Diceros bicornis minor: one gene and its partners. The protein of the gene in region 2 interacts with the protein of the main gene of each other region in a pairwise test. Links are inferred from orthologs where the notes say so. Each region holds a gene or a part of one and is shown on either strand. Other genes may lie near its edges.

Evidence for each region.
Region 1: the proteins of EXOSC10 (region 2) and EXOSC8 interact in binary tests that used the Homo sapiens proteins (3 or more experiments, as listed by UniProt). The link is inferred for Diceros bicornis minor from reciprocal best matches to the Homo sapiens genes EXOSC10 and EXOSC8.
Region 3: the proteins of EXOSC10 (region 2) and MPHOSPH6 interact in binary tests that used the Homo sapiens proteins (3 or more experiments, as listed by UniProt). The link is inferred for Diceros bicornis minor from reciprocal best matches to the Homo sapiens genes EXOSC10 and MPHOSPH6.

The regions. Positions count from the first base shown.
Region 1 is NC_080748.1:19,385,139-19,392,150, forward strand, and holds the start of EXOSC8 (exosome complex component RRP43), read left to right. Parts: upstream 1-3,964; 5' UTR 3,965-4,007; coding exon 4,008-4,024; intron 4,025-5,144; coding exon 5,145-5,181; intron 5,182-5,425; coding exon 5,426-5,489; intron 5,490-6,053; coding exon 6,054-6,127; intron 6,128-7,012. Other genes in the region: ALG5 (dolichyl-phosphate beta-glucosyltransferase), read right to left, coding at 2,721-2,786. UniProt on the Homo sapiens protein: Non-catalytic component of the RNA exosome complex which has 3'->5' exoribonuclease activity and participates in a multitude of cellular RNA processing and degradation events.
Region 2 is NC_080752.1:30,363,468-30,371,562, forward strand, and holds the start of EXOSC10 (exosome component 10), read right to left. Parts: upstream 3,031-8,095; 5' UTR 2,980-3,030; coding exon 2,869-2,979; intron 1,131-2,868; coding exon 994-1,130; intron 1-993. Other genes in the region: serine/threonine-protein kinase mTOR, read right to left, coding at 7,579-7,594. UniProt on the Homo sapiens protein: Catalytic component of the RNA exosome complex which has 3'->5' exoribonuclease activity and participates in a multitude of cellular RNA processing and degradation events.
Region 3 is NC_080771.1:31,512,288-31,519,919, forward strand, and holds the start of MPHOSPH6 (M-phase phosphoprotein 6), read right to left. Parts: upstream 3,045-7,632; 5' UTR 3,017-3,044; coding exon 2,966-3,016; intron 1-2,965. UniProt on the Homo sapiens protein: RNA-binding protein that associates with the RNA exosome complex. Involved in the 3'-processing of the 7S pre-RNA to the mature 5.8S rRNA and play a role in recruiting the RNA exosome complex to pre-rRNA; this function may include C1D.

The DNA of each region.
Region 1 (7,012 bases), on a different chromosome or scaffold from region 2:
TCTAAGAGGAACGGCTGATTCAGGTCTGGGGCAGGAAATGTACAACAGTGGAAGAACAGTTAGACCAGAAAGCAAGGAAGGTATCCACGACTGTGAGGGCCACGCCAAAAGGACAAAGTAGCCAACGTGAGGGGCTCCCACTGGCCTATGATGGGAGGATTTGAGCACCAAAAAGAATAATTACTGCAATGGATTGAAACATATGAAATATATTTTATATTATGGATTCACAATGATACTAAAAATAAAAAATTGGTCACTTTTGTAAAATTCCAGGCAACTATCTCATTATTTTGAAAACTTGCCTTTTTTATCTTACCTTTTATATATGAAAGGTATTTCAGGGTAACTGAATAGCCAAGGATGAGATTTTTTTTCATTAGAGAATTCCAGGTAATACACGAAGGAATGATACAATTAGAATATTTCACTTTGCAACTCCCAGTGAAATAATGGATTTAGGTAACGATCATCAATGACTGCTAAAACCATTAGGTTAATAACAAGCTTGATAAATGGTGGGTCAGGCTAACAACTCCTGAACCTGTGGGTCCATCTTAACACCAGAGAAAATCAGACATTACACGCCTCCTGATGTGATAAAAGAGGAGGTATTCAGCATCACTCACACACTTTTCTTGATTAAAAAACTCAAACACACATTTGATCAAGTCGCTACATGTAACTACCAGTTTACAAGAAATTCAGGAGACAGAGTAAGACGTTAAAAGGCACCAAGGGGATGCAATCAGTGAAATTTAAATTGTGAGAAATGACACAGGACAAATGACCACTTGTTGGAGACAAGGAAAAGGAAAAAAAGAGAAGAGAAGAGGTTATCGATTAAGAGACTAGAGGCATGTTGCTCAAGTGCTATGTGTGTGAATGCTGACTGGAACAGCCTGACTGTACCAAGACACACAGGAGGCATTTGAACTGACCGGATACTTGACATCACTGAATAATGGCTACACTTAAAAAAACATCTGTGACAACCTTTTTGTGGTTTTATTTATTTTTTTTTTTTTGTGAGGAGATCAGCCCTGTGCTAACATCCGCCAATCCTCCTGTTTTTTTTGCTGAGGAAGATGGCCCTGGGCTAACATCTGTGCCCATCTTCCTCCACTTTATATGGGACGCCGCCACAGCATGGCTTGCCAAGCAGTGCGTCGGTGCGCGCCCGGGATCCGAACCAGCGAACCCCGGGCCGCCGCAGCGGAGCGCGCGCACTTAACCGCTTGCGCCACCGGGCCGGCCCCTGTGGTTTTATTTTTAAGAGGGAGTCCTACCTTTAGAGACAAATGCTGAGGATTTACAGATAAAATGTTATGTCTTGGATTTACTTCAAAATAATTCACAAAGGAAGTGGGGGGGGAAGCATGTATGGAGGTTGAATATATAAGATAGAAGATTAGTTGTGGTTTTTTTTAGGTAAGGGGGAATGATTTAAATGCTCTAGCATTTTTAAAAAACGAAGTTTCCCTAGCTATGTGATATTTGCATATATGAGCTCACCTCTCCAAATTGTTTCCTCACCAGTCAAATGAAGTTAATGATAACATTTATGCCAGTGTTGTTTCCAACATCAAATGAGATAATCCCTGTTAAACACTGAATACCCAACATATTGTAAGGACTCAATAAATGGTAGCTCTCATAATCACTTCAGGCTAGTGGGATCAAATACTTCCAGCACAACCTCATAATGTACACATTTAGATTTGTGCAACAGATTCAACATGAGGCAGATCCAATGTAGGATTTTGTCAAACTCTGCCCCACAAAACCCCTGAAACCTCTATATACCACTAAGGGAAAGAGGACTTCTTTCTCACTCAGACACAAATCACGAAAGATGGCAAGATACACTGCTTTTTCTCTATCGAAACTGTTTCCAGCTGTGAGTTTACAATATTTGCGGCAAGACAGCAGAGTGTTATTTAGGCTGTTAATCTGAATGTCAAGGAAGCAGAAACCTCTCCATTTACTAACTAGATGGCAGGCCCATTCCAAATTATACGGGAGAAAGGTCACTTGGCAAATTTTCTATTACTTATGGAACAGCAATGTATTTCCGTGTTTCCAGAGTAATGGCAAAGAAAATTCGAGTTTGAATTCCATTGTACTGCCTCATTTAGAAGCAGCAAATTTAGGGTGTTTAGTTCTGGGAGATAAAGACCTCCAGACATATGGTAACCTCAGGCCTCATCTATTTTGGTCTCCCTATGTCCGTAGGGGGTCTCCCCATCCAACGACTGATTCCAACCTGTAACAGACGGCTGCTGTCAGTGCTGTCACCACTTCCTATTTGCTGAACCACACACACCTTCTGGGGGCTCAAGACCTCCCCGGACGGAGCCAGACCTGCAGAGGCTGCAGACCCGGGAAGAAGTCCGGGAGAGGTCGGGGCACACAGGGCGGGTGGGCAGTGGGTCCGGGTACCAGGGGAAAGTGAAGACTGGGCGAGCACGTCCCAAAATGAACAAGCGTACAAGGCTCTGAGCACAAAGGGAGATAAAGCTCCAAAATAAAAATAAAGAGCGGAAGAAAGGGGGCGTGAAATTCTAGGAGAGGAAATTCTGGGGTCCAGGCTCGGGGGAAGCAAGGTAAAAAGGGACACGACGAGGAGCGGGCAGTGCGGAGGCGAGGACGCCTGGGGGCCGCGTTTCCAGGAGAGCAGTGAGCCCAGGCCCGCGTCGGTCCCCAACCCCTCTCCTCACCAGTATTAGAGCTGCGGCCAGCAGCGCCGCGCCGAGCACCGCCAGCTGCAGGAGAAGCGGAACCATCCTCCATGCCCGGGCCGCCGCGCCCGCCCTATCCAGCACCTACACACACGCGGAAGCGCGGCCGGCAGCCCCGCCTCCCGCCCGCAGAGAGGACGCGCCGGCCGGGCGCCCGCCGCCCACAGCGCCCCCGCGCGGCCCGACCGGGACCAGCCGCCGCCCACAGCGCCCCCGCGCGGCAAGGCGAAGAACACCTAGTAGTTCTTGTCTGCTAGGCGCTCAGAGGGTGGAGAGGCAGGCACTGTGTTTCCCTAGTAGGGTTGCCAGAATTAGCAAGTAAAATATAGGATGTCTACTTAATTTGAATTTCAGATAAGCAACTAATTGTTTTTTAACAGCCTTATTAAAATATAACTCACATACCATACAACCCATCCACTTAAAAGGTGTTGGTATACTACATTTTTTAAAACTGTGATAAAATAAAATATAAAATTCTAACCATTTTAAGTGTACAATACAGTTGTACTAATTACATTCACAATTTCCTGCAGCCATCACCACTCTATTTCTAAAACTTTCCCTGCTCCCCGCAGCCCTTGTTAACAACAAAGTAACATGCACTATTCCAGGCGTACTCATAGTAAAAAGAAAAAAATACTTTGTTTATCTGACATTCAAATTTAATTGGATATCCTGTATTTTATCTGGCAACCCTATCAAGGAGGGATGCGGAAGCCGTAAGCCACGACACAGCCTTCAACACAAGCTGCTCCTTTGGAACCCGCTCCGGGGACCTGCAAAGAGTAACCTGGCGCGGATACGAGCGCACAGAAAAAGAACGTGCTTCTCCGGTGCTGGAGCAGGGAGCCCTTTACCTGGGAGAAGACAAGCCCAGGGCCCGGTCTGAGCCGGAGGCGGGGAAAGGACGGAGAAACATTGGAATAATGCTCCACACTCAATACTAGATTCTTGGCTGTTAGTCGGTTTTCTCTTAAATTCTTGAACTTCCAGACTGTTTCTAAAGAGAGCCGCTCGTCACTTCACTAACAGCAGATTCGCCAAAACACCTCTAAGGCAAGGAAAGCCAGACAGGCGTCCGGCTACGGACGGTGGAAGCGAACGTAGTGCGAGCGCCCCCTCGCGGCGCCCCAGCCTCCTGCGTCTCTGCAGCGGGAGAAGGGCGCAGGCGTCCGTGTCCAAAGTGTGGAGGCGGAGCAGGCGCGCGAGCGGAGCGCGGGGTCGCCCCGGCGCCGGCGCCGGCGCAGGCACGCGGGCGGGAAGATGGCGGCCGGGTTCAAGTGAGTGTCGGTGGCCGGCGGGCGCGAGTTTGTGCGCTGGTGCATCGCGGCTTCCTTTAACCCTTAGCTGGGATTTTGTCACCTGGAGGGCATCCCACTAGGTTCCCACTTCTTTCCCCCTCGGAAGCGGGCGAGAGGCGGCAGGACCGGAGGTGGTCGTAGTGAAAGGAAAGGGGGCTTCTCCCCGAAAGGGAGGATGGAAGGGACTGTGCCTCGAGTTCGGTACTTGGGGCGAGCGCTTGTGGCTTGGTGTGTGGTGGACGTGCGGCGCCAGGAGGCACAGTTGTAATCTTTTAAAAAGTGTTGCATCAGAACCACACGCTATCGTATTCTTCCTCTCCTGTAATTTATCTCTAAAAGGGTTATGCCTTGTTCGGAAGGTTTTACTTAAACCTTTTTTGTGCCGCTCTGGCGAAGCCTATAGATTTTCGTTCTCAGAGGCAAGTTTTTAAATGGATGAAATAAGATTTCAAAGGAAACCAATTATATTGAAACAGTTATCTGTATAAACTGCGAGTTCAGGTATTTTAGGTACTTGTTTTAAAGTTGATTTTCTTAAACAACAAAATCTGTGGGGAGTTTAGTAACTAACTCTTGGAATTTCAAAGTAACAATGAGTCTAAACATACCTTCGACAATTATGAAGTAAAAACGAAAACATTTAATCTCTGATTTTTTTAAAGTCGCAAATACTGCTAATATGACGGTTTATTGCCTACAGTCATAATTGAAGAATATGCTCAATTTCAGTGTAATTTAGATAGTGAAAGTAAAGATGTAACTCTTTTTCATGTTCACCAAGAATTCCTGCTTCAGAGCGAGAGTGACATCATTATTTTAACACCTGGATTAATCCTCTTTTAAAGATGCACAAGAACTTTGGGCTCCAATCCTGTAATTGTTTAACGCAGAATTAAGGACAGCAGTCGAGTGTGATTGCTCCTGCAAGCCTATCTACTTTTTATAATTAGTTACATGTGGCAACACAAACATCAGAATTCATGAAAGACTCTTAGTTACAAATTGTGGAAATTTATGCTGCATCACCACACTGCCAATTTCTGGATTTATGTTAAGATTCATTAACTTACCTCAGATATATTTTTAACACGTGTTTCAGAACTGTGGAACCTCTGGAGTATTACAGGAGATTTTTGGTGAGTAAAGGTGGTTATGTACATGCTATGCCTTTTGATAATACCTTATGCTTCTTTTAAAGACAATTTTCATATATACAAATGTTGAACCATGTTGTACATGTGAAACTAATATATGTTAATTATACCTCAATTTAAAAAAACAATTTCAAGTAATTCAGATTAATTCGAGTTAACGAGGTTTAATGTGTTTTCCTTGGTGTGTGTAAAATATAGATGTAATCTTTCATAAAAATATATTTAGAAAGAGAACTGCCGTCCTGATGGAAGAGAACTTGGTGAATTCAGAACCACAACTGTCAACATAGGTGAGGATATTTTGAATTCTAATAGAATGTTGAAGTTGCTTTGATTTTTAATACTAGTAAAGAATTTTTGTTTGTAAAGTTTTTCTTTAAACTCACTGTTCTCTCAATTGATATGTTATTTAAAATTTTAAAGTAACTATTTTTCCCCTTCCTTCCTTCAGAATCTCCAACACAGGGTGTTCTTATATGTCTTAAACTTATTAAATCCTCTGTTGCAAACACTGAATTTTCTAGTTTTACCTGTATGACATTGCCAAGTTGTAGCCTCTCAGCCACTTAAACAGTATTTCAGCCAAATTCTACCATGTTTAAGGGATTTCAATGATTTTGTGTCATGAGATTTTTATCTGTATAACAGTCCTGTGCCTGAATGAAAATGATTAACAAATTCAAGGACAGGTGAATAATACTTAAAACAATAATTTTAAATAATTATACCATTTTAAAAAGACTCAGGCTAGGAATAAATTTTCATAAGCCACTGAGATGTGTAGCAAGATAAAATCATAGAAAACGAAAATACTTCTTATGGTCTTCATTTTGCTTAAATACTTATCTTTTCAGGTTCAATTAGTACTGCCGATGGTTCTGCTTTAGTGAAGCTGGGAAATACTACAGTAATTTGTGGAATTAAAGCGGTAGGTTTAATATATGTCTTACTGAGATTTAAGTTACCAAATTAGCTTCATATACTTATTATAGACACCTATAATTCTATTGTTGATTAAGCAGTCAGGTGTCAGTTTTTTAGTATTTGTTTTCATTTTCCAAGAGCTTTCACCTTTGAGTATTAGATAATATGACCCAAGTTTAATGAGTCTTAATTTATGAACATTCACAAAATACTAAATAAAACCATTTAAAAAATCCTCACCACCTTTAATTTTTAGAAAATTTGTCATCTGAGAAATTGAGAGATTTTTGGTGACATCCTTTTGTCCCGTGATGGCATTTAATCTGTGCAAATGTGTAGAAAATCGAGATTGTTCAAAAGAGAAGCCTGAGAGGACAATAGCTACTATTTACTGAGGGGACAACAGCTGCTATTTACTGGGTATCTGCTGTATTTCAGGCACCTTGTATTAGGTGCTTTACAGATTTATCCAGTTTAATCCTCAGAAGAATCATTTGAGATATAATTTATCTCTTTGTCTCCTGTTTTACAGAGGTTCAGTAATGTGTACAGGAACATGTCTCACAAATAGAACTTAGATATAGCTGACTCCAAAGCCTGTTGCTTTTTTGAGTATGTTGCACTCTGTGAGTTTACTTAACCTAAGTTAAGATTCTCCCTCCATAAAGCTGAGGTGTTACCTAATAATAAGATTTGAGCACTTACTCCTTGCCAGGTTGTTAGGGACTTTACATCTCACTTGATCTCATTAACATTCCCTAAAAGTAGGCTCTGTTAATTTCCCATTTTACAGATGAGGAAGTTGAATGGTAAGAAATTAAATAACCTACCCAGAGTCTCTCAGCCAAAAAATATGGGTCTGACATTTGAACCAGGTCAGTGATTCCAG
Region 2 (8,095 bases):
CTTGTGACTCTGCAAGTTGTGTTAGAGAATCTTGGATCTAGGTTTTCAAGTCCCATGTTAATTCAAAAAGATTCACTGTCCATAGATGCAAAAGTCAATACATTTTCTTTTTTTTTTTGCTTGAGGAAGACTAGCCCTGAGCTAACATCTGTGCCAATCTTCCTCTATTCTGTGTGGGGGGTGCCGCCTCAGCATGGCTGAGGAGCGGTGTAGGTCTGTGCCCGGATCCCGAAGCAGAGGACGCTGAACTTAACCACTGCATCATGTGGCCGGCATCCAAAGTCAATACATTTTTGTGTGTGTGTGTGTGTGAGGAAGATCAGCCCTGAGCTAACATCCGATGCCAATCCTCCTCTTTTTGCTGAGGAAGACTGGCCCTGGACTAACATCCGTGCCCATCTTCTTCTACTTTATATGGGACGCCACCACAGCATGGCTTGACAAGCAGTGCATTGGTGTGCGACTGGGATCTGAACCAAGGGCTGCTGCAGTAGAGCGCGTGCACTTAACTGTTGGCCACTGGGCTGGCCCAAAAGTCAATACATTTTTTAAAGGTTAAACTCAAAAGTTACCAAGTAACGCTTCCCTAATCAAAATCCATTGTCTCGGGGCCGGCCCGGTGGCGCAAGCGGTTAAGTGCGCGCGCTCCGCTGCGGCGGCCCGGGGTTCGCTGGTTCGGATCCCGGGCGCGCACCAACGCACTGCTTGGTAAGCCATGCTGTGGCGGCGTCCCATATAAAGTGGAGGAAGATGGGCACGGATGTTAGCCCAGGGCCGTCTTCCTCAGCAAAAAAAAGAGGAGGATTGGCGGATGTTAGCTCAGGGCTGATCTCCTCACCAAAAAAAAAAAAAAAAATCCATTGTCTCATTTTTACATTTCAGAGCTCTTTATAGTATAGAAAATTATGGAAAGAAAAAACAAATTTTAGGAAAAATTATCTACTTCTTTATATTCAGTTCTTTCAACACAAGAAAACAATATGTAGTACTTACCACTGAAGCAACCTGTCTCCCTGTGTTTCACAAAATGCCTGGAAGCCAGGAAAACTTCGGTAAAAGTCATACTCATCGCCAAACTGTGGTAGGCCCCCAGATGCCTTGGTGACTGCCACCACTGACCCAAGAGCAAACTGTCAAAAACCACAAAAACAAGCATGTTTATTTAAACAGGAGTCCCCATTCATTCAGCAACTTTTTTTCAAGATCTATATATGTGCATTACATATAATGCATTGTGCTAGATGATGAAGATATCCTATCTTTACACATCCAAAAAATATTCATTTAGTGCTGATTTTACCCTAGGTCCTAAGGAAACAATGGTGAACACGAAACCAAGTTTTGGAGCTTATATTCTTGGGAGAGTGGGGAGAGAAAGAACAACTACATACATCACTTAGGCTAGCGCCTGGCACATAAGCGCCATTATTATTACTACTACTCAAATTCAGGTCCATGAGCTTTCTACAGAAAATTATTTTTGTGTTTTCATTTGGGAAGAGCATCTAAAAACAATATAAGAATATTCTAGGTCCTTCGGATGACCAATTTATAATGGCTACTGCCCACAACTGGACTTGTGTTTATGGTCCAGTTAGTGCCAGGTAGTTGTCTACGTTTTCTTTTTTTTTTTCAGAATAATTTTTTTTTGTGTGTGTGAGGAGATCAGCCCTGTGCTAACACCTGCCAATCCTCCTCTTTTTTTGCTGAGGAAGACTGGCCCTGGGCTAACATCTGTGCCCATCTTCCTCCACTTTATATGGGCCGCCACCCCAGCGTGGCTTGACAAGCGGTGTGTTGGTGCGCAACCGGGATCCGAACCGGCGAACCCTGGGCCGCCGCAGCGGAGCGCGTGCACTTAACCGCTTGTACCACCGGGCCGGCCCCAAGTAGTTGTCTATTTTAATTGTGTGGTCATGAGAAAAAACCTGAAGTGACTGTCATAGATAAATGATGGTTGGTCAGGTGAAGGCCAAATGACATCATTGTGAGTTGCGTAATAAACATTTTCCAAAAAAAAATGAGAGAAAGGAGGTGGGAACTTGAGTCACGTGAGTATATGGTGGCTTGTGAGCACAAAGGCCACCTAATCAGGACCACGGCTAGTGGTCCAGGAACAACTCAGAGCCAAATAAATGAATTAACAATAGCATCTGCTTATTAGATATAACGTGAGTGGAGTTTTTGGAACTTGTAGTGCTAACTTACAAGTTATTTTAGCTTCATGGCTTCGTAACAGCTTTGCATGAGGCGTTTAAACCTAGTTTTATGTTTGTTCATATTTAAACATCAATACACAAATAATTTAACTGAACCCTGTGTTCCTTCAAGAAGGCATTGATAAATGTGCTAACGCACTTAGAGGAGGCTGACTCGGTGACAGCTCTCACGGGGACATTAAACCCAGGGTTGGGGATTATGTAGGACTGGACCTCCGGAGAGGGAAGAAGGGCCATCCCAGAGGCGCGAGGGGAGGACGCCGGCAGCTGTGGGAAGCCTAAAGCTGCGGAGTCCCTCCGGAGAGTTGGATGGGTGGCTCAGGCCTGGGGGGGGGGGCTGGGGACATCAGGGTGACAAGGAGGCCCTTCCCACGACGCGGAGACGGCGCTCCACACTCAGAGCTGCATGCGCTCCAAGGAGAGAACGAGGGCCCTGGGAAGCAGAGCGTCCCTCAGCGTCCGCGTGCGAGGCCCCATCCCCGGGGGTGAAGGGAGAGACTGTGCCCGGCGCGGGTAACGGCCCTTCGCCCCCCGCCCGGGCTCTGCTGCGGCTCGCGCACGGCCGGGAGTGCGGCCGCAGAGAGGGCCCGGGCCTGCTTCCGGCCGGCCGCGGGCGGCTCCCGGTGCCCCCAAGGCCCCGCGAGCTCACCTTCACGAAGCTGTCTGCGTCCGGGAAGCCCGGCAGCACCATCTCTCCGTCGGACTTGGCCGCGCTTGTTGTCGACGGGGCTTTGGGATCTCCGGGACTGGGAAGCGCCATTTTCCCGGCCTGCACGGCTCTTCTCGCGAGAGTGCCTCGGGCCGACGCGACATGCGCGCACCACGCATGTGCAAAGGCTGTCGTCGCGGGGGACGAGCTGCGGGCAACGTGCGTTGAGGTTTCAGGCTTGAGCGCCCCACCGGGGGGGCTTTGCATCTTTTGTTTAACCTGATTGTATCGTCCCAACAATCTGTGATTTAGGGTGGGACCCGGAGGACCCAGTTATTCTCATATTTAAAGTCAGCTCCTCCCAAGCTCTGGTTCCGTGCCTCCCCCTCCCAACTTGATCGTGGCTCCTGCAATTATCTCCTCTCTCTGGCATCACCTATCTTTCCCCTGGATACAGGTTCATTCCTAACAGCCTACACATGTGACGGTATCTCTCCCAAGTAAAAAGACAAAACAAAAACAACACGACCCCACGCCTCCTTCCAGCCACCGGCGCATTTCTCCTGCCTCTTACAGGTGAACTCGAAAAGACGTCTGCCTGCTCCCCCTGTACTTAGTCACCTCCAGTGCTCTCGAACTCCTGCAGTCAGACGTTCCTCCCCATCTACACCGCTGGAGCCACTCTTGGTAAGGCATAGTGGGAACTCAAACATTTGTTAAATGAATGCCTGGAAGAGCATAGTTATGAAGGAGGCACTGTATTATCACGCAGCTCAGGGGATGGGTTTTGGGAAGCTCAGCAGGGCGTATCTTCTCTCCTAAGATCGGGGTAGCACATCCTTAATACAAGTCGTTTGACTTAGTAAGTGTTCAACAAATGTTACCTGTCATCGTTATTCGGAGTATTCTTTTAGCAGGATACTTTTCATTTCCCCCCCAATTTGTGTACCTCAGGTACACAGGTGCCCTGGCAGAACAAAGGCCTAGCCTTGTTCCTTTTAACAACTAATACTTTTGAGCACTTATTTCATATAGTTCAACGTAATATCACATGTGAGGCTGTGCTGAGTGCTTTCCATGGTTATTATCTCATCCTCAAAACAACCTTTATGTGGTAGATCACACCATTATGCACACTTTCAGAGGAGGAAACAGGCATAGAGAGGTTAAGTAACTTGGCCAAAGTCACACAGGGAGTATGATGTGGGGCTGAGATTTGAAACTACGCAATCTGACACTACAGCCTTGACTCTTACAAACCACTTTACATGCCTCCCAGAGTTTTAAGGCCCAGCCTATGGCACCCTGTGAATGTAAGGACCCCCAAAGTCATTCTTTGCCACATCCCTCCCTTCACAAAGCAGTTGTGTGAAACAATCTGGATTGATAGGGTAATTAGACTGTCTTCAAATGCCTTGATTATTTCCTCACTTGCCCCTGGTAATTCATCTCAACAAAGGATTTGCTTAGATGTAACTTAAAACCCATTGGATTCACCAAAGATCTTTTTTTTTTTTTTTTTTTTGGGGAGGGAGATCAGCCCTGAGCTAACATCCGTGCTAATCCTCCTCTTTTTGCTGAAGAAGACCAGCTCTGAGCTAACATCTATTGCCAATCCTCCTCCTTTTTTCCTTCCCCGAAGCCCCAGTAGATAGCTGTATGTCATAGTTGCACATCCTTCTAGTTGCTGTATGTGGGACACAGCCTCAGCATGGGCGGAGAAGCAGTGTGTCGGTGTGCGCCTGAGATCCGAACCCGGGCCTCCAGTAGCGGAGCTGGCGAACTTAACCATTAAGCCACTGGGCCCGCCCATCACCAAAGATCTTAATCCCAATGACTCTCCTGTCCTGAGGTATGTCTTTACCACTGATTGCCACAATTTCCCTGAGTCCATTCATTCCTATGCCCTTTATCTTTCATGAATGGTAAGATCACTGTAGTCATTGATAATTATTTCAGGTAGAACCAAGAAAGTTATGGTGATCACATTTTCTGTCACAAAAGTTGATACATGGTTTAAGATTGTTCATGGAGGGCTGGCCGGGTGGCTTAGTGGTTAAGTGCACGTGCTCCACTACTGGCGGCCCAGGTTCGGATCCCGGGCGTGCACCGATGCACCGCTTCTCCTGCCATGCTGAGGCTGCGGCCCACATATAGCAACTGGAAGGATGTGCAGCTATGACATACAGCTGTCTACTGGGGCATTGGGGGGAAAAAAAAGGAGAAGGATTGGCAATAGATGTTAGCTCAGAGCCGGTCTTCCTCAGCAAAAAGAGGAGGATTAGCATGGATGTTAGCTCAGGGCTGATCTTCCTCACAACAACAACAAGATTGTTCATGGAAAATTTAAGATAGGTATGAGATTTTCTAGCTGTGAAGGTTAAAACTGTTATTAGTATCACTAAAAATCCAAAAAATCCATCTTTGTTTTTAATAGAAGAGTCCTCAAACAAACCTATATGGAATACCACTGTGGGCTAGGTCTTCTGGCAGATTTTGGGGATACAAAGTCACATACGATATGCCTCCTGGCCTTGTAATTCTCATGCTCCCCTAACACAAGTTCTTTGAATAGCTTTTATAATGATACAGTATTTCTCACTGGGTAGCTGTGGCCCATAGGAATTTAGAAAAAAAAATTTACTTGAACAACTAAAAACGATCTTCTTTGGAAGAACTTCTCTTTAGGCATGCTTTCTTTTTTTTTTGTGAGGAAGATCAGCCCTGAGCTAACATCCATGCCAGTCCTCGTTTTTTTTTTTTTGCTGAGGAAGACTGGCCCTGGGCTAACATCCGTGCCCATCTTCCTCCACTTTATGTGGGACGCTGCCACAGCATGGCCTGACAAGCGGTGCGTCAGTGCACACCCGGGACCCGAACCCGGGCCGCCAGCAGAGGAGCGCGCGCACTTAACCGCTACGCCGTGGTCAGGCCCCCAGGTGTGCTCTTTCTTTAGAGGAACCCAAACATAGTACTGGCCAGCTCCATTCAATGTTCTCTCCTCTCCATTATTGCAACAGCCTCTTGACTAGATCTTGTGGCTTCTCATTTTCTTTCCACTTGTTTGACACCAGGTGGCTCTTAAAAACACGACTCAGATTCTACTTCTGTTTTAAAACTTCACATGGTTCCCTGTCGTCCACAGCATCACGTTCAAACTCCTTGCCGTTTGAGGCAAGGCCAGTCTGGCCTCACTCTGCTTTGTAGCCTCCTTTTAGTTCCTATTACTCCTTTTATTCCGTACTGACCACTGAGCCAGATATGCTGAACTCTGAGGTCCAGCTGTGAGAAACTGCCATTTTATGTATCAACAGTGGCTGAATACCTGCAATCTAATCTTGTTCAAGTTACTACTTGCCATTGCTGCACGATATTGTGCTTTTATCTCTCGATTCTGCCAGGAATGTCCTCATCTGCTTCATCTGACAAACTCCCACTCCTCCTTTAAGACCCGTGGCAAATGTCCCCCTTTCCCCCAGGCTTTCCTGGCTCGCCCAGTGAGTTAGTGCCCCCTCTTACGCTCACCCTCTGGACGTGGCTCTTCTCACCGCTTAGGTTGGTGGAGTTGTCAGTCCGCTCCTAGGTGACGCCGCCTCTGCCTTGTCTGGCCTGTGAACACCGCGAGGAGAGGGACCACGTCGTGTAGATCCCACATCCTGTGTAGTTGCTAGTACTAAGTGCTTAATGAATGTTGAAGGAATAACTGCTTCCTTTATGAACTAATGATCATGAATAAAAAGCCACTCATATACATGTTTTTAAAATTCTGATGTCATTTATTGGCACAAAAATTATTCAGATACAACATGGTGTCTAGACATGGCTACACTTTATACTTTGTGCATTTAGTTTAATATTTCTTTTGCTCGTAATTCCCAACATGTACTAGACCTGGCCTCTCTTGTGTTCAGCACCTCCATGACAGCATTTCTGTTTTCCAAGCCCTTGCTCTAAACATAGAGCATCAGACCTCACTGAAAACACCCAGAATCGTGCTGGGGAAGGCCATTGTGGGCCACCCTACTGCGCCACGATCTCCTCTGTGCACCTGCTCAGCTGAGCCGCCCAGCAATCTGAAGAAACTCCTCTCCTAGCAGTTCGGGTCTTGGATTGAAGTGTGTAAGTCGCAGCATCAAGGTGAGGCAGGAGACAGACCTTTTCCACTCATTTTGGCCCATTTTGCAAAAGTTGTTGTTGCTGTCCATGGACCAGTGAGGTAATGGGATAAGTGAAAATGACAAAGTTGGCTTCTCTCACTTCCTTACAGTCCAGAATCCTAATACATGTCTTCCATGACCTGAGGCTTCTTGACTGTGCTGCGTTGGCTGTATCCTTGTTGAGAGGAACAACTAGGCCATTCTTCTATCAGCAAATGCTTATGATGAGTTCTCTGGTGAGTTAAGTCAAAACCCGTATTTCTAAAGTTATGGATCTTCTGTTCCCCAAAATCAATGGCTTGATTTATGTAGTATTACTGTGTTTACTGTCCTGGGAACCAAATCAAGCCTTGTGTTTCTGATAATATATTCTTCAACAGCAGCTAGAAAGTTGGTTCAAACCAACTTTTAATATACAGTAGTTCTTTTCATTTACATTTCAAAATATTTAACATAAAGTCGAACTTTCTGACCAAGGTTTCAGTTTAGTGGAAGCATATACCAAAGTACAAAAGCCTCAAGAGAAACGCTGTGGGCAAGTCTGGGCCTCCAGTTACCAGAAAGGACACCTAAGAAGACAGAGAGAAAAGGAATGTTTTAATAACTTGGGCTTCTTCAAAGCGTTACACAGCTACACTGAAAATGGGAAGACCAAGGTCTGGCAACCCCTGGGACATTCCCTGACATCTCCCACAACTAATTGTGTAGGACACACTCATCATTGCCAGGCAAGGGCTGACGCCTGCTTGGTCCCAGAACGACACGTCCCTATCGCCCTCTCTCTCAAGTTTCTACCTTCAAGCATGCCTCGGGCAATTAATCAAAGCAGACTCCAGAGTGGTCTTTGAGGTTACAATCCCAGATCATAAATTTCTTTTCATCTCCTTTTCTCTGTCACTGCTCTGGCTTCTTTTCCTTTGCCCTTCCAGCATCTCTGAATTGACAGCAGAAATCCAAAAAGACCCCCTCCCCCAAAATAAGGGGGCCTCACCTACTCTCAACCATTTTAATGTAATTTTAATTTATGTTGGTGTTTGCCTTCCAAATATGCATCCATATTTCTCAATTTT
Region 3 (7,632 bases), on a different chromosome or scaffold from region 2:
AGAAATGTCTGCAATCCTATCTGAAGTGTTTTGTGGTCCTCATCCTTTTGCCTCTGTGTCTATACCCTCACCACAGGAAAGAATTGGCAGTTTCTGGAATGCATCCCCTGTACCTCCCAGTCCTTTTGCCCCTGCTACTCAACATCATGCTTCCATTCTCTGCCTGGCAAAATATGCACTTGCGAAGGTCCAGAGCACACGGCCTTTGGGCCTCCACTGACTGTTGTTTGGCCAAGCTCTTTCCAGGCATGTTCCTGTAAAAGAATACCTTTTCCCATTTCTAAGACAGCCTTATAAACACTGGCTTTTGTTCATTATGCTTCTTCTGTGTCTCCCAAGACTGAAATTCTGAAGAGCATACCATGTCTCTTCTTCATCTTGTATTACCGGTACTCAGGCTGCACCTGGTACCCAAAAAGAGTTCAGTAAAGGTTCTCTGAACGTAAGTGAGTCTAGACTTGTCTTATTTTTCCAGATTCCCTTTCTTGGACGGTTCTCTTTATACCCAGATGCCTCATTTCATCACTTATAGTTTTATTGGTAAAATTCACCAATCCTGCCCAAATGCCCTTTTATCTTCTATTTTTAGTCAAGGAGATATTATTATGGCATACAAAATAGCTGTATATATATAATAGCTGTACACATGGAATATGTGTATATGTGAATATGAATCAAGGAACTCGACTTAGGTAGCAATACAATTCTCCTGACTCTACAGCATCTAAGAACACACTCCAAAGTGAGTGATTTAGCTTTATTCACAGCTGAGGGACTAGAGCAGTTATCGCAAACTATAGTCCCTAGGCTGTTGTTATAAATAAATGTTGTTATAAATAAAGTTTTACTGGAACAAAGCCACCTCATTCAGTTCTGCATCACAATGGCAGAGCTGAGTAGTTGCAACAATGACTTTTTGGCCCACAAGCCTAATTTATTTATTATCTATCCTTTTACAAAAAAAGTTCACCAACTCCTGTCTTAAGAGTCCGAAAGAGCTAAAAATCACAAATAAGAGCCCTCTCTACAACCATTCCATCACACTGACAGACCTCCCATACATCCTTCACTTTCCACTGCCCATCAGGATCACCCACCAGCCCCCAGTAGCTGACCAGGTCAGATGACTTCAAGCACACCTGAAAACAAAGGAGTCAGTATTAAATCCTCAACCCTCTCATTCTTGCTCTATACTTAGCTCTAACAGCTACACTGGATATGGGCAACCTAATGCAGCTTGCTCCTTTCCTTCTCAAAGGACACTCCACTCTATCTGTATACATAGTGTCTCCTGTTATCCTGCCAATAAGTTCTTCCTTTTCAATAACTGAAGTTGCTAACCCAACTAGAGAACCTGGGTAATTTTTTTTCCTCTCCTTTGCTTCCAATATCCAGTTGAGTCTCCCTCAACCACTCGGGTAGGGGTGGATAATTTTTTTTAAGTTAACTTCTTCCTTCCTAACTCCAGAGTCAGATTTTTGGTCTGAGCCCTAATCACCCAGCACATCTTCATCTGACTTATTCCAAGAGCTAAAACAACTTCTAAAATCTTTTCAATGCCTGCTTTGTCAATCCATTCTACGTCTCTGAAATCTACATGATTATAAACCATAAGCCAAAAGAAAACTCTGTTCAGTAAAGATTCAAATTTTGCTAATACGCATCAAAGAAGTACTTTAGAAACTATAAATTATGCCACGATTTACCCCCACCCTCACTTGCCCTATTCATCACTAGTTACACCCGAAATATTACTTATGCTTCTTTTTCCTGGAAATTCCACAACTCTCTACACGTGACATCTAACAGTCTGCATCTGTAAGTACTGTGTTCAGCGACAAGCAGTATAGAGTGGTAATTAGGAGCAGGGGCTTTGGAGCCAGACTGCCTGAGTCTGAGTCCTGTCTACTCTACTTACTAGCTGTGCAACTTTGGGCAAGTTACTTACGTTTCTGTTTCAGTTGCCTCAGCTGTACCACTGTGCCCACTTCAAAGGGATATTATGTGGATTTCATGGGTTAATATATGCAAAGCACTTAGAACAGTGCCTGGCACACAGCAAAAACTATAAATGTTTGCTATTAAGTTTCAAGGTTTGGTTGCTTCCTCTGTTTTAATTCCTGTATTCATTTTATCCACGCTTGTCTTTTTTTCCCCCTTTGAAATTATTTGGTTAAACTGACTTAATTTCAAATCTAAAAATCAATTTTGCTTAAAGTTGGGTGACATAACTCGCTTTCACCTCAACTGCTATAATTCTCCCCGTTCCCATCACCACTGTAACCCTCACTCAGATCATCAGAACCTCTAGCTGATCTTTCTGACAGCAATTTTGTGCCTTCACCAATCTATCCTCCACCGGACAGTTAAGCAACCTTGAAAAGAAGCACAGCTAACGATACTGTTCAATAGCTTCCCAATGTTCACAAGATAAAAGAATCCCTAATCTGGCCCCAAATTCCTTACATAGTTGTAACCACTGGCTACCTTCCCAGGCCCATTTCCTGCTACTTGCCTTCCAGACACACTGAATTATTTTAGTTCTTGGAAATCTCAACGGATTTTTTGGGTTTTGCCTCTCAGACTTCTGAACTCGCTTTTCCCTCGGTTTACGTCGCTGTGCACCCCCTCTCCCCCTTCAGTCTCTACCTGAGGGCCGCTCCGCGCAGAAGCCCAAGGAAGTTCCGGGGCTCGCGGCGCTGCACTAACTACACTGTATCCTAACTGCTTGCTCACGTGTCTGTCTCTCCTATCCGACCGCGGGCTTTGTGCGAGAACCCGCCGGATTTATAATCCGGTTCCTAATGCCTAACGCAGAGCAGGCGCTGAATGAATGACGGAACGCCACAGCTGGAGGGCTCCGGGGCCTCTCTGGTGCCCCCATGCGCTCGCCGCCTCAGCCCCGGCCGGGTCGGGGAGACCAGGTACCCCTGCCGCCCGGCCCGCCTCCTCCACGTCCCCGCACCTTCATGCGCAGCAAGTTCTTAGACAACTTAGTCTTGCGCTCGGCCGCCATGCTGGCTCCCACCCGGCGCTCCGCCACTATCCCCGCCGCGCATGCGCGGTGCTGCGTGCGCAGCGGCACCGCCTTACGTAGCGTGCGTCATCCCGCACCGTGGCTGCGCCCACGTTTTTCGCGCTCGAGAGCGTCCCGGGTGTTTCGCGCGTCGCCTCAGGAAGCGCTCGCCTGAGGGGAAAGCTCGGGGTGAGGCCCGGCCGTCGAAGTGGAGGGAAGAGCGACTTAACCCCGGGAGGGAGACGTCAAAGAGGCCGCAGTCGGAGGAGGCCCGGCCGCTCCGACCTGTTGGCCGCCTTCCCCGAGGGCTTTTGCCGGGCCCCCAGCCCCCGTGCCCCCGGTCCTGCCGCGTCGATGCCTCAGTCGTCCTGTGAGACCCTCGAGACGGTTGCCACACCACGCCGCAGGGACTGTTTCTCCCACTTTTCTAGCATGGATGGCAGGATTCCAGTGTTCTGCGTCGTGTAATAGTTCATACTCGCCGTAACCCCGTGGGGGGCACTGGCGTTGTCCCCATGTTGCAGTTGAGTAAACTGGGGTATAGGGAGGTTCCTTAACGAGCCCGAAGGAGAGTGAGGGAGGTGGGTCTAAACCCAGGCAGTCTGGCTCTGGAAATACCACGGAAACCGTGGTCAAGTCGGCTGTTCACGGCTGTGTGCGTCTTTGAACCTAAACGATGTTTGTGTTGAATAGGGGAATAGCAAGAGATAGTCAACGCCGTGAGGTGGCGAGGACGACCTTCTTTGAATCTGAAGAGCTGAGATGATAGCTCAGTGCCCTGTGTACCACCTCGGGACGTTGCTCACACCCTTCACAGGTGCTGCACTTCGGACGACACCCAACCTGATAGCATTTCAGCTGAGAGCCTGCACCATGTGCCACGTTCTTTTGCTGGCTACCTTACGTGTGTTATCTAGTCCTCGTAAGAACGCTGAAGAAGATATTGTTGTCATCCTATAGTTAGGGAACCCCAGGCCTGGAGGGGTTAAGGGCCTTACCCGAGTTCACACAGCTAGTAAGTGTTAGAGCTGAGATTCAAGAAACATGATAAAAACGTGGCCCTGCCCTGGCAGGTTTTCTCAGTGGAGTGGATAAAGGCATTGCAGTGTGGTAAGCGGTTATGGAAGTTCGTTCATGACTACGGGTAGACTGGGCCAGGCTCTGGGCAGCCATAGTGTGTAAAAACACATGCCCTCCCTTTCCTGGAGCTGGCATTCTTGTGGATGCCGTGGAAGAAAGACGATGATGTGGTAGAGCGACCTGTAGGGTTACTTTAGGTAAGGTGATCCAGGATGGCTCTTGTCAGAGGGCGGTGTTAAGGTTGAAAGTTGAGAAAAACCTGTTGTATGAAGAGTTGGAGGTAGAGTGTTCTAAGAGGAGAGACTAGTGTCTGTAAAGGTCCCAAAAGGAGAGCAAGACAAGGGAACAATAGAGGTAATCACATGTTATGAATTGAATTGTGTCCCTCCAAAATTCATAAGAATTTTGGCTCAGAATGGACTGTGTTTGGAAATAGGGCCTTTAAAGAGGGATTAGGTTAAAACGAGGCACTTAGGGTAGGTCCTAATCCAGTCTGACTGGTGTCCTTAGTAGAAGAGGAAGTTTGGTTTCGTAGGGAGACACCAGGCATGCACATACACAGAGGAAAGGCCATGTGAAGACACAGCGAGGAGGTGGCCATTTGAAAGCCAAGGAGAGGCCTCAGAAACCAGACCTGCCTACGCTTGTATCTTGAGTTTCTAGCCTCCAGAACTGAGAAAATAAAGTTTTGTTGTTTAAGCCTCCCAGTCTATACAATTTTGTTATGGCAGCCCTAGCAAACTAATACACATAATTAGCTATAGATTACAGTTGTAATAAGAGCCCTATAAGAAAACTAAGGGGTTTGTGAGAGTATATAGCAAAGGAACCTAAACCATTCTGGCTTGGAAAAGGAAAGGACTCTTAAAGCTGTGACATTTAAGTGGAGATCTGAAAAGGGAGGATTTAGCTTGGGGAAAGGCCTTCCAATCATTCAGTTTTATGCTACCAACACTCCCATACATCCACACAACACTTTTGACTTTCCAAAACAAACTCTACGCATTAAACAGTAACTCCCCGTTCCCTCCACCCCCGGCAACCACTATTCTACTTTCTGCCTCTGTGAATTTGACTTGTGTTCAGGATTTGGAAAGAAGTTCTGTGGAAGCAGAGGTGAAGAAGTGACCCAGTCTACCATCTGCAGCTAGGAAACAGCTGACATCTTGAAGGATGAGCATGTATCTTGTCAGCTTAAGAGGAAAACAATTCCTGGCAGAAATAAGAGCGTCCTAAGCTGCTAGAAGTTCCACGCCTTTCCTATGGCCTTCTGTTGTACCAGTCTACTTGCACACTGGATTCTGATTCATTTTCTTGAAACATAGGCTTCATCATGTCACTTTCCTACTTCAAAATTTACAATAACTTATTGTCTGAGGAGTAAAGGTCAAATTCTTCAACCTGCCACTCCTACATTTTTCTTTGACAATGAAAATACTTTTAATTAAAACTAATCCCTATAGTCTCTTCCAACCCATCAAAATGTAATAAATGAGAAGTGATTTAAGAGTAATAGTGTAATTTTAACTTTGAATTAAACTCCCTGTCAGGGAAGATAACTCCTTGATCTCTCTATGCTACTAAGTTGTAGAACACAGAAGATAAGTCTCTCACTCAGTGTATTAACCTGTTTTAGTTACACAGCCAAGGAAACATTGTTTTTAAGGAAGAGAGATTTCTGTAGGTCTTCACACATACAATCGATTTTGAATCCTTTCCTAATAGAATTTCTTAGAAGTGTGAAAACTTCCAATTCCTTCCAGTTACTGTATCCATCAAGAAAAGGTCCCCTGAGTCTCTTCACTCTTGTAGCCGACCGTATCTAAGGCTGTGCAGCCCAGTACAGGAAGCCTAGACATATGTGTCTGCTGAGCACTTGAAATGTGGTTAATGTGGCTGAGGAACTGAATATTTAATTTTAAACTTAAAAACTAGAAGTGTAAAATATTTTCCCATTATATATATTTTATTGCTTTGGAAAGACTGCATTTGACTTTAACCTTTGAAAATTTAGCATCTGAGTTGAGATGGGCTAAGTTTAAAATAAGTACCACATTTCAAAGACCTGAAATGAAAAAAGAGTAAAATGTCTCAATATTTTTTCATATTGATTACATGTTGAAATAATAATAGTTTGAATGTATTGGTTTAAATAAAACCTAGCATTAAAATTGATTTCATCTTTTTTTTTAATGAGGCTGCTAGAAAATTTAAGATTACACTTATGGCTTGCATTTCCTCCTCTTTATTTAGTAGCTTTTGTTCTTTTGTTTGTTTTGCAAGTACCAGAAATTGATAATGGGTTATTAAATGGGGATTTATTAGAAGGATACTAGATAGTTCATAGAAGTAGTAACAAAGCCTGAGAACAAGGCCAAGTTAAAAGGACAAAATCCAGGGCAGCCCAGGGATCTAGGAAGCAGGAATTAACTTAGTGCCACTGCAAGAATGATGAACACCAACTGATTTCTCTGCTTTTAGGACGCTACTCAAGTTTTCAAAGTCTAGGAGAGAGTCTCATTGAGTTAGCTAAGAGAGAGCAAGACCTGTTCTATAGTCCCTGTAGGACTATGCAGAAGCGGGGAGGGTAATTCTTTAAAGAGAACTTGGGTGCTGTAACAAAGAAGAGGTAATCATTGTAATAGCCAAAACAGCAATGTCAAGGACAAATATCTATTTAAGGCAGGAAGGAAGAGAGTTCTGTTGACACAGTCCCAAAGGACAAATAATTGGTAGTGTCAGCTGGAAAATGCACATCCAACATGAAATCTATCCCTTCTCACAGAATGTGCTCCCTCTTCCTGCTTCCCTGTTTGATTTGGTGAGGAAGTATTTATTGGCTGCCTGTTACGTGCAAATTGTGACTGTAGGACAACCAGTCTAAAAATCTAAGTAGTGTAATACATCCCTTCTGCTCTTACATTCAGTTACTTACTAAGTCCTATCTATTACTTGTTCGTGGTTATCTTGGTTAAATTAGAACTTGGTGCTGGAAGTGACCTTATGGGGCATCCAGGTAAGTAATTCCTAGACATCAGTCAGTGGTTATGACAGAATGACCAGGGGAAATTTAAAACACGTCAAAAACAAAAGTCATTCCTAATTATTGGATGATTGTGATGATCAGCCAGGATTTGGAAACTACTGAGCTAGATGAGTCTCCTAATTATATGTACCAAATTGCATCAACTCAGAATTCAGGTTTGTGAACTCTCCATTTGGCTTTCTTTTTTATTGTGCCCCCATTCTTTCCTTTCTTTCCATTGTCATGAGACCATCCCTGAATTTAATGGCTAAATCTTATTACTTTATGACTGTGACAGCCAAAGTCTCCTATTTTTTCTGCCCCCTGCCTTTTTCATTCTTTAACCAATATTTTTGAGCATCTCTTATGTTCCTGGCCCTTTGGTAGGTGCTGGGGGAACTACCTGAGAGTATGCCACAGACAAGGATACAGGTGCTCAGTGGTGTCATAGAGATAGGAGTTGTGACAGGGAACCTAATCTGGATTTGAGGCGCTTGGAAAGCATTCCTTG